Linked DNA regions of Schizosaccharomyces pombe. Each later gene encodes a partner of the first gene's protein in a complex. Each region holds a gene or a part of one and is shown on either strand. Other genes may lie near its edges.

What was found.
Region 2: rqt3 (region 1) and rqt4 share a complex: the UniProt entries of both Schizosaccharomyces pombe proteins name them as parts of the RQT (ribosome quality control trigger) complex.

Annotation. Positions count from the first base shown.
Region 1 is NC_003421.2:2,014,071-2,018,462, reverse strand, and holds rqt3 (CUE domain-containing protein Cue3), read left to right. Parts: upstream 1-1,865; 5' UTR 1,866-1,884; coding exon 1,885-3,630; 3' UTR 3,631-3,879; downstream 3,880-4,392. Other genes in the region: wtf meiotic drive antidote Wtf19, read right to left, coding at 1-16, 66-395, 611-746. UniProt on the Schizosaccharomyces pombe protein: Involved in activation of the ribosome quality control (RQC) pathway, a pathway that degrades nascent peptide chains during problematic translation.
Region 2 is NC_003424.3:1,065,686-1,070,361, forward strand, and holds rqt4 (transcription coactivator Rqt4), read right to left. Parts: upstream 2,994-4,676; 5' UTR 2,768-2,993; coding exon 2,088-2,767; intron 2,034-2,087; coding exon 1,346-2,033; 3' UTR 1,155-1,345; downstream 1-1,154. Other genes in the region: DSIF transcription elongation factor complex subunit Spt5, read left to right, coding at 1-1,154; wdr55 (WD repeat-containing protein), read left to right, coding at 3,046-4,131; lysophospholipase Plb3, read right to left, coding at 4,454-4,676. UniProt on the Schizosaccharomyces pombe protein: Probably functions as part of the RQC trigger (RQT) complex that activates the ribosome quality control (RQC) pathway, a pathway that degrades nascent peptide chains during problematic translation.

The DNA of each region.
Region 1 (4,392 bases):
CAAGTTTCATAGAAGTCTAATGAGTTAGTGACTGAACGTAAGAATAGTCCTATCGTGTCACTTACACCATAAAGAAATAAAAATCATTAGGCAACTAGCACACCACACTGCAAAATATACCCATTCATCTTTGCCATAATCTTTAAAGAGAGCGTCCTTATACGTTAGATAACAAACTGCGGGTACGTTTAGCACAAAGATTGAAATGAATGATAAAAATGCTTTTTTCAACGGAGAGGTAGAAGAATTATCTGCCGTCCCGGAAGAATGGTTTTCTCTATGTGTAATAGAAAGACTGTCTTCACCATAATCCGGAGGAGTCGTAGACTCGTCCGTATTAAATAAGTTAGGGTTGTTAGCTCCCATTTGTTTGGGATCCTTTAAATTTATATTTTCTATATTGTTAGCAAAATTCAATGGTAACTTTAGAATATTTTTTAATGGGAAAGGAAAAAAGAGCGTGCCTGTTAGACGAATTTATACTCGTAATATGTCAAGTTGTAAACAAACAAACACAACAAAAACATTGTAAATCAAAACAAACAGACACAGCAAATAATCCTTGACACACTCAATTCTTTATCTTATCTACCAACAACACAACACTTACCTGAATATGGAGGCAATGTGCTCCCATCTTCTGAATTGTATTCTGGGAGAGGACCTTTTTCCAAATCAATTTCATTATCGTTTTTTGCACTCAATTCATCCATAGACGACCTCAAGGGATAATATTTATTCTTCATTTTCTAACGACAGTCTATTATTTAATGATATACACACAAATAGTTCAATTGTTGTGATTGCGACAAACGAAACAGCAAAATCAAGAATATTCACTCTGTAGTCCAATTCCAATCGCTTTAAAGACTTTTTAACAAAATAATAAAATTGTTCAAACAAATTTCCAACTAATTCCTTCAAACAATGGCATAAAAAAAGAAGAACGAAAAAACTGAACGAGGCAGTGGATTGCTTCTGACACATTAATTTTGTCACTGCCCTTTTTATTCACCCCAACTTAGATTTCCTTAAACGTTTTTGAGATCCTGAAATATTTTGTTACTGTATAATAGAATATGCCACTGTAAGTTAATACGCAAATGCGGGTTTACTGTGTCAGCAATACTACACGACGCTAAGATACACCACGTTGCGTATCACTATATGTCAGATGTTAAGATACTACTGAACATCCGCTATTGATACACAGATAAACTATCTGTTTATCTACATAGACAGTAACTATCAGAAAGATTATAAATAGAGCTACAACCGAACCTCGTTCCTCAGTTCAGTTATGAGCTATATCGGTGACCGATACTAACAAACTTCTTATAACAATAAATATCACATTGTTTAATTTATCATATTGCATACCGCAACATTGTAGGTCGCAACTAAAACTCACCGCAGTTCTATATATCGTTAAAACAGATATCAAACTGCGTAGCTAACAATACCAAACTGCGTGGCTGACATTTATATACACGTTAGGATGCGATGAGTCTTTTTAAGTCTCTATACTGTTTCATGTGAATGATATATTGTTAAAGGAGTACTGTTAAATGTCACATCTTATAAGCACAGTTTGTCAGCACATAATTAAACTGACTCGACTCCCTTTTTTTATTTGAAATAAATTTTTTTTAAACGATGATTTGAATATAAATTCCTTGAAGAAATGGTAAATAAGGGCATATGATGATGAATTGTACTCTTATAAACAGCCTATTGTAGTGCGGCTTAACCTCACATTGCATTGTAAGCGCTGCACCGTGTAGTTATGAATTACCGAAAATCATGGTACGTCGCTACTCAGCTGGTACTAGTACATAGAAACTACAGAGCACGAACACAGCAGTAGAAAGCGTATACGCTGCAATGTCTGAGAATGTCATATCGTCTAGCAAAAATGTAGTTTCCAAGCTGTTATATGTTAAAGACGAATATTGGCCCTCTGTTGCTCCTGCTGCTACGGAATTGATTTCAAAGTTAATAAATGCCTTCTGGTGTCAAACATTGAATGGTCAATTGGTAGAGGAAGATGAGGGAGAAAGAAATTGTATTTTTCTTTTTGACCGATGTCTCAAAACTGAAGGTTGTTTAAAGAAAATTGGTCCTGTTACTGTTATGCAGTTCCTTGCGTGCTTTCTCCTGTCTTCACAAAATCATGCATATGCTTGGTCGGTGTGCAGACAAATCCCTTCAGACGATATGGCATTCAAGTTTACAAAATGCTTTCAAAACTCTCAACAGTTTCGAGATGCCAACTTTTGTAAGCTCGTATTGGTTTGGACAGTTTGCCAGTGTGTCAGCTCGACAGTTTATTATCCCGCAATTTTGGATTTACTACCAGTGCTTTCGGATCTCGTTAAAGAGATGGAAAAAGATCCTGCTTCTTTGCAAGCTAAGGAAAACGAATTTTGGTTGAAAAAACTTATTCAAACTTCCCTCCACCATTCCTCCGATAACTCTCTAGTGTTTTATCTGGAAATGCTTTTAGACTCCTTAGATTTAAGGAATTGTATTTATGTAGTATTCGAAGACGAAGCCCTTTTTCGTCGCTTGAAAGACATTGGCAATCCGGAAATTCGCATGATGCTTGACTCAGGTCTTCGTGATTGGAGAAAACAGAGAAGCGGTCGATCTTCTTCCCACGTAGCATCAAAAGGAATTAACAAGGTTGTGAATATAAACCCCGGGGATGTTAAAAGCCTAATAGAATTATTTCCGCAGCTTTCGGTCGAAGAGGCCGTTGAACACTTATCAGCCTCGCTGGGGAATATAGATGCTGCCTGTGAATCTGTAATTACTTCCTCACTACCAGAAGAGCTTGACTCTTCAACACACTCGCCTATCTATACGAAACCTAACGTTGATTCGATGCACAAACAACCTAAAAAAGCTATAGCTCCTCTTTCTCTTAGCTCTTCAGTCACTGCAGTTATTTCAAATCGTACTAGCGATAAAAAGACAAGGAGTACAGTTGCGGAAGAGGATGATATTACTCATCTTAATATATCTCCGGATAGACTCTACCTAAATAAAAAACCCGAAGATTTAAATTTCTGGAAGAAATCTGTTCCCGAAACTGACAAGTCTCGAGTACTTAACCTTCTTGCTATGGCTGAAGACGATGAATACGATGATACTTATGATGATCTCGATACTACGGGCCCTGTGGATTCGGGTGTCGGTGATGATGATCCTGAAGCATCCTCTAAAGACGCCCACGATTTTCAGAAGTTTATTAATCAAACTTTGTATGATTTTTACCAACAAAATCCAGAGGTATTTGATCAAAAAGCCAGAAAATCAAAGGAACGCGCGGATTTGCTTGCCAAACTTGACAATTCACTTACCCACGAGCAAATAGAGGGTTGGAGAAGAATGTTTACCACTGACTCAAAGTTTGCTGAAGCTGTAAAAAAAGAGGTTACTTTTGGTTCTGGAAACACAAATATTGGTTCTTTAAGGCAAACAAAATTTAAGCAAAGTAATTACACTCCTCCGGAGTTAAACGATGGATCCAGGCAGCATCGCCCATCTCGCCCGTCTAAAAACCCTTCGTTAAAGAAGAAGAAGTATGTGCGAACCAAACCCAAAAAGGCTTCAAATGAGAAATGAATTTAAAATACTTATCCTTATAAACTTGATAATTGATTTTCTACTCTCTTTTACGTGTATTTTCTTGTACTATTTTCAAGAACTATTGAAGTTTTACCGCATTTCATAGCTTTACTTATTACGGTTTAATTTTGTATGATCAATTGTACGTGGTACCATATATCGCGAATAATGCTATTTATTTCTATTATCTAGTGCATTTTGAATAACATGGTTAATTGAATGCAAAGGCGATTTTAAGTAGTTGCAAACATACATTTTCACAAACGCGTTACGTGTGGTAGCCAGTATATAAGAACTTTACAGATTAAAGGGTTTGAATTGAAAAAATGATAAGAAACATAGATTAGTATTACCCACAGTAAGTTAAATAACTGCAGCTCGAAAACTATGCATGTGTATACGAAGCTACTTCTGTCAACACTATATACAAATAGTAGATCAACGCCTTAAATAAATCTATCCATCCCTTCAAAAGAAAAATCTTTGTTTGATACAGTAATACCAAAACAGCAGGATAAATAAAGTGAAGCATGACAAAGAAAAGGCAATGGTTTACATAGATCGTTGATAACATAGCGGCAAATGTGAATTTATTAGTTGACTTGCTTTTAATATTCAATTCCAAGTTGAGAATGAAACAACATACTGATATCTCATATATAGAACTGGGATGCACCTATAAACACAAGTAAAATGCACGAGTTCTTCCAAAGCCAGTAAAAGAAGAACAAGGCGAAGAAAGAAGGAGATAGAAAGAAA
Region 2 (4,676 bases), on another chromosome or scaffold:
TTGATCAGAATGGAGGGGTTAGAACGGTTCTTGCTTCTCAAATTACCATGCGCCATTCCAATCGCCGAGGTGTGGCTACAGATAGAAATGGGGCTGAAATTCGGATTGGCGACAAAGTAAAAGAGGTTGGAGGAGAGGGAAAGCAGGGAACGATCTTGCACATATACAGAGCTTTTGTTTTCTTGCATAACAGAGATATCGCAGAGAATAATGGTGTATTTTCCGCTCGCAGTCGTAACGTAGCAACAATTGCGGCAAAGGGTGCCCGTATTTCAGCAGATTTGACGAAAATGAATCCAGCTTTATCCAATGGGCCGGCTTTGCCTCCGGTTGCTAACTTGAAAAGAACGATTGGACGTGACAAAGCTATTGGCGCTACTGTACGCATCCGCAGAGGTCCTATGAAAGGATTACTTGGCGTTATTAAGGATACTACTGATGCAAATGCACGTGTTGAGTTACATACGGGAAACAAAATGGTTACAATTCCTAAAGAAAACCTGCTATATACTACTAAGACTGGTGAATTGATTAGCTATACCGAATTTATTGAGCGTTCTAGAGGAATAAGACCTGGTAGTATCAGCACCGCTGATGGACCAAATGTACCAAACTGGGCCCAAGGAGCCCGTACGCCTGCTGTTGCAAATGGTTCACGCACTCCAGCTTGGAATACTGGAAGTCGCACACCTGCGTGGAATTCTGGTTCAAAGACACCTGCGTGGAATTCTGGAAGTCGCACCCCAGCGTGGAACTCTGGGAATAAAACTCCTGCTTGGAATGCTGGCAGTAGAACACCTGCTTGGAATTCCGGAAATAAAACTCCTGCATGGAATGTTGGCAACAAAACCCCTGCTTGGAATAGTGGTGCTAAAACGCCTGCATGGAATGCTGGTAATAAAACTCCGTCCTGGAACAATGGTACTAAGACTCCAGCTTGGAATGCTAATCAGACACCTATGGTTGCTAATGGCACTAACACCTCATGGGGACAAACCCCTGCATACGGGGGATTCAGTGAAACTAACTGGGATACCGAAGATAATTCAAAGCCCTATACTGCTCCTACACCTGGTGCGTGGGCTGCTCCCACACCAGGTGGTTGGGATGATGAAGAAGGAGATTCACCCAAATATGTACCTCCTTCTCCTTAATTTAAAATCAAATTTTTGAAAATATCGACAGATAGTTTTGTTAAAATTGTTAAGACATATTCTAATTAACGTAATCTTGTTAATAATATTAAAATGATACGCACTTTACCAAAATGCATATATGTATATTTAAAAAAACTGAATCTCATAAAAGCATACATTAAATATTTGTAACTTTAACATAAACATACTTATAACATCGATGGCATGCCATCATCATCCTGAACTTTAGACCACTTCTGATTTATTTTATTAAGAATAGATTCAGGCACGGCGACATGACTAGAGTGTAGGTCTTGATGGTAAATAGGCCTAGGCAAATTTCTAATAACAGGAGCCTTCGGGTTATGACTATGAGATTGGCCCTCAACTTTAGTTAAATTGTCAAGTTCATCCTGATCTTCATCAGAACTTTCAGAAGATGCTTCCTTTTGATCGACTACAACTTTTTTTCCTGAAAGACTAATCGACAATACCTTCTTTTTTTTCTTTTCCTTTTTAGCCATGGCCTTTTGCATTCTAACAAGATTTAAAGCTTTCTCAGCTGGAGATGCCCAAGTATCAGAAGCTAGCGAAGTAGGATCAAAATCAGCAGCTTCGTCGATAATACGAGTTCGTTGAGCAGAGGTTCTATCAAAATTTAATAAGACATTTTTTCTTTCTTCAGCCTCCTGAGCTTTTTGCTCTAGTTGTTTAGGATCGAGAAAAATTGAATGCAAGGAGGAATTTTGCAACCTTTGAAAATTATTTTTACTAGAAACGGTTTTGCTTTTTCGTTTTTGATTGGCAGCTTGCTTTAAGCGGCTTCCCTCATGCTTCAACTCTTGAATTAATTCCAACTGTTGAGCTTTGCTAATGACAGGATTATCACAAAAGGTGCTAATTAAGATTAGTAAAAACTTGTTAATAAGATATAGTAGTAATATTACTTACCAAGGCCCAATCCCCTCAACAATGCAAATTATTTTTCCACAATTCAAACAATTGGGAGCCGCCTCATTAAGCGGATGCTTACGTCCTTGACAATTGCAGACTCTTCTTTCTGCTTTATTTATATTTTGAGATATCTCTATTTGACGTATAGCTTTTTCGATGTCGGCGAGACCTTCAATTCTGTTAGAAGAAGAGTTATTATGTTTTACACTTTTCTTTTCCGGAATAAGGTCAGAAGTCATTACGCCTGGAGAGACATTTTTCGTAGTTTTGCTAGATTTTTCATGTGATGAAATATTGTTTGATTGTGATTTATTCCTCGAAGCAGGATTGACTTTATACATTTCTTCATCATATCCTTTTTGCTTATTGTTAGCGATATAGAAACTTGGATGAGAAGATGTGGCAGTATTTTTTTGCCGAATATTATTATTTGGTGTCACATTCTTCTTGTTTTTCATGATCGATGGAGAATTACCAGAATGCGTAGAGTGAAATCTTTTTTGATTGAAGTCACTAATGAATTCTATAGTCTCAGCAGAATCCCCCAGTAAAGAAATCCAATAATCTTTTGCGGCTTCGGAAGAATCGACTGCTAAAGCAGTGCTTGTTATCATTGCGGCACTCTCATCGTCGACTGGCAAAATTTTCAGTACGTTCTCCTTCGTCCATTTTTCCATGTCTAACTTTCTAAAAGAATTCGTAGTTTAACGATTTCGAATAAAGTCTTTGAATAAAGAATCCCCAAGTAAAAAATACTATTGAATTATTTAAATGAGTTCAAGAAGTTCGTACAAATAAAATTTTATATGCTTTATGTAAATTTTCCAAAACAATATCAAGTTGGTAGTGTAATAGTATTCGCGATTCTAGGGTATGCAAATTTGCTACAGGGCAATGGGTGCTGAGAGGTGGATTGCCCAGCTCTAATCACAGCCTACTTGTCCTAAACAACCTAATGGGTGGAACAATAAATGCTGCTATAAAACAAAAATTTGAAAATGAAATATTCGACTTAGCTTGTTTCGGTGAAAATCAAGTGTTACTGGGTTTTTCAAACGGCAGAGTTAGTAGCTATCAATATGATGTCGCACAAATAAGTTTGGTCGAGCAATGGAGTACCAAAAGACATAAAAAAAGCTGCAGAAATATTTCAGTAAATGAATCAGGTACCGAATTCATTTCTGTAGGTTCAGATGGTGTTTTAAAAATCGCCGATACCTCAACGGGGAGAGTGAGTTCAAAATGGATAGTGGATAAGAATAAGGAGATTTCTCCTTATAGTGTGGTTCAATGGATTGAGAATGATATGGTCTTTGCTACAGGTGATGATAATGGTTGTGTTTCTGTTTGGGATAAGCGCACCGAGGGAGGCATTATCCATACCCATAATGATCATATTGACTATATATCTTCTATTAGCCCATTTGAAGAACGATACTTCGTTGCTACTAGTGGTGATGGAGTTTTGTCAGTAATCGATGCTCGTAATTTCAAAAAACCAATATTGAGTGAAGAACAAGACGAAGAAATGACCTGTGGAGCTTTTACACGGGATCAGCATTCAAAAAAGAAATTTGCTGTTGGTACTGCCAGTGGAGTTATAACTTTATTTACAAAGGGTGATTGGGGGGATCATACCGATCGCATTTTATCGCCAATTCGGTCCCATGATTTTTCAATAGAAACAATAACTCGTGCTGATTCTGACAGTCTGTATGTTGGCGGAAGCGACGGATGTATACGTTTGTTACACATTCTTCCAAACAAATACGAAAGAATTATAGGGCAACACTCTTCGCGATCAACCGTAGACGCTGTGGATGTTACTACCGAAGGCAATTTTTTAGTTTCCTGTAGTGGAACCGAACTAGCTTTCTGGCCGGTTGATCAGAAGGAAGGAGATGAGTCATCCTCCTCTGATAATTTAGATAGTGATGAAGATTCCAGCAGCGACTCTGAATTCTCGAGTCCTAAGAAAAAGAAAAAGGTGGGAAATCAAGGGAAAAAGCCTTTAGGAACTGACTTTTTTGACGGTTTATAATTCAAAACAGCTTTGATATCTATAAAATTGCACAATCATTATTAAAATTAATTGTCTGTATATTTAAAAATAAAAGCGATCTTCCTAAATTAACTAAACTAAACATCTTCATTAGAGAAAAGAAACATTGTGCTTCGAAAACTTAAAATGAATTCACTAACACTAACACTAAAACTACAAAACCTTTGAACCCCACAAGTTTGGTAGTGATTAATACCTTACAATTAATAAATAAAAGCCTGACTCAGTCTATGCTTTTTAATTCTTTCAAGTCGAAAAGTGACTCATACCAAGGTGTGTGAGTGGGGGAGGCTTTCGTCGTCTATAATAGTAACGAAACTGTTAGAAGCGAAGCAAATAAATAAAATACTATAGGTTTGGCTCGTACAGAAGAGGTACCAGAAGTGGTTGATGCAGATAACACAGTAGGAGCATAGTTTGAAACGGCACTAGGGTTGTTCACGGTTGTTCCATTCCAGCAGTATTGTTCAAAACAAGAAGAGCATTGACTAGGAGTAGACATATTTTTGCGCTCCAAGGAACGT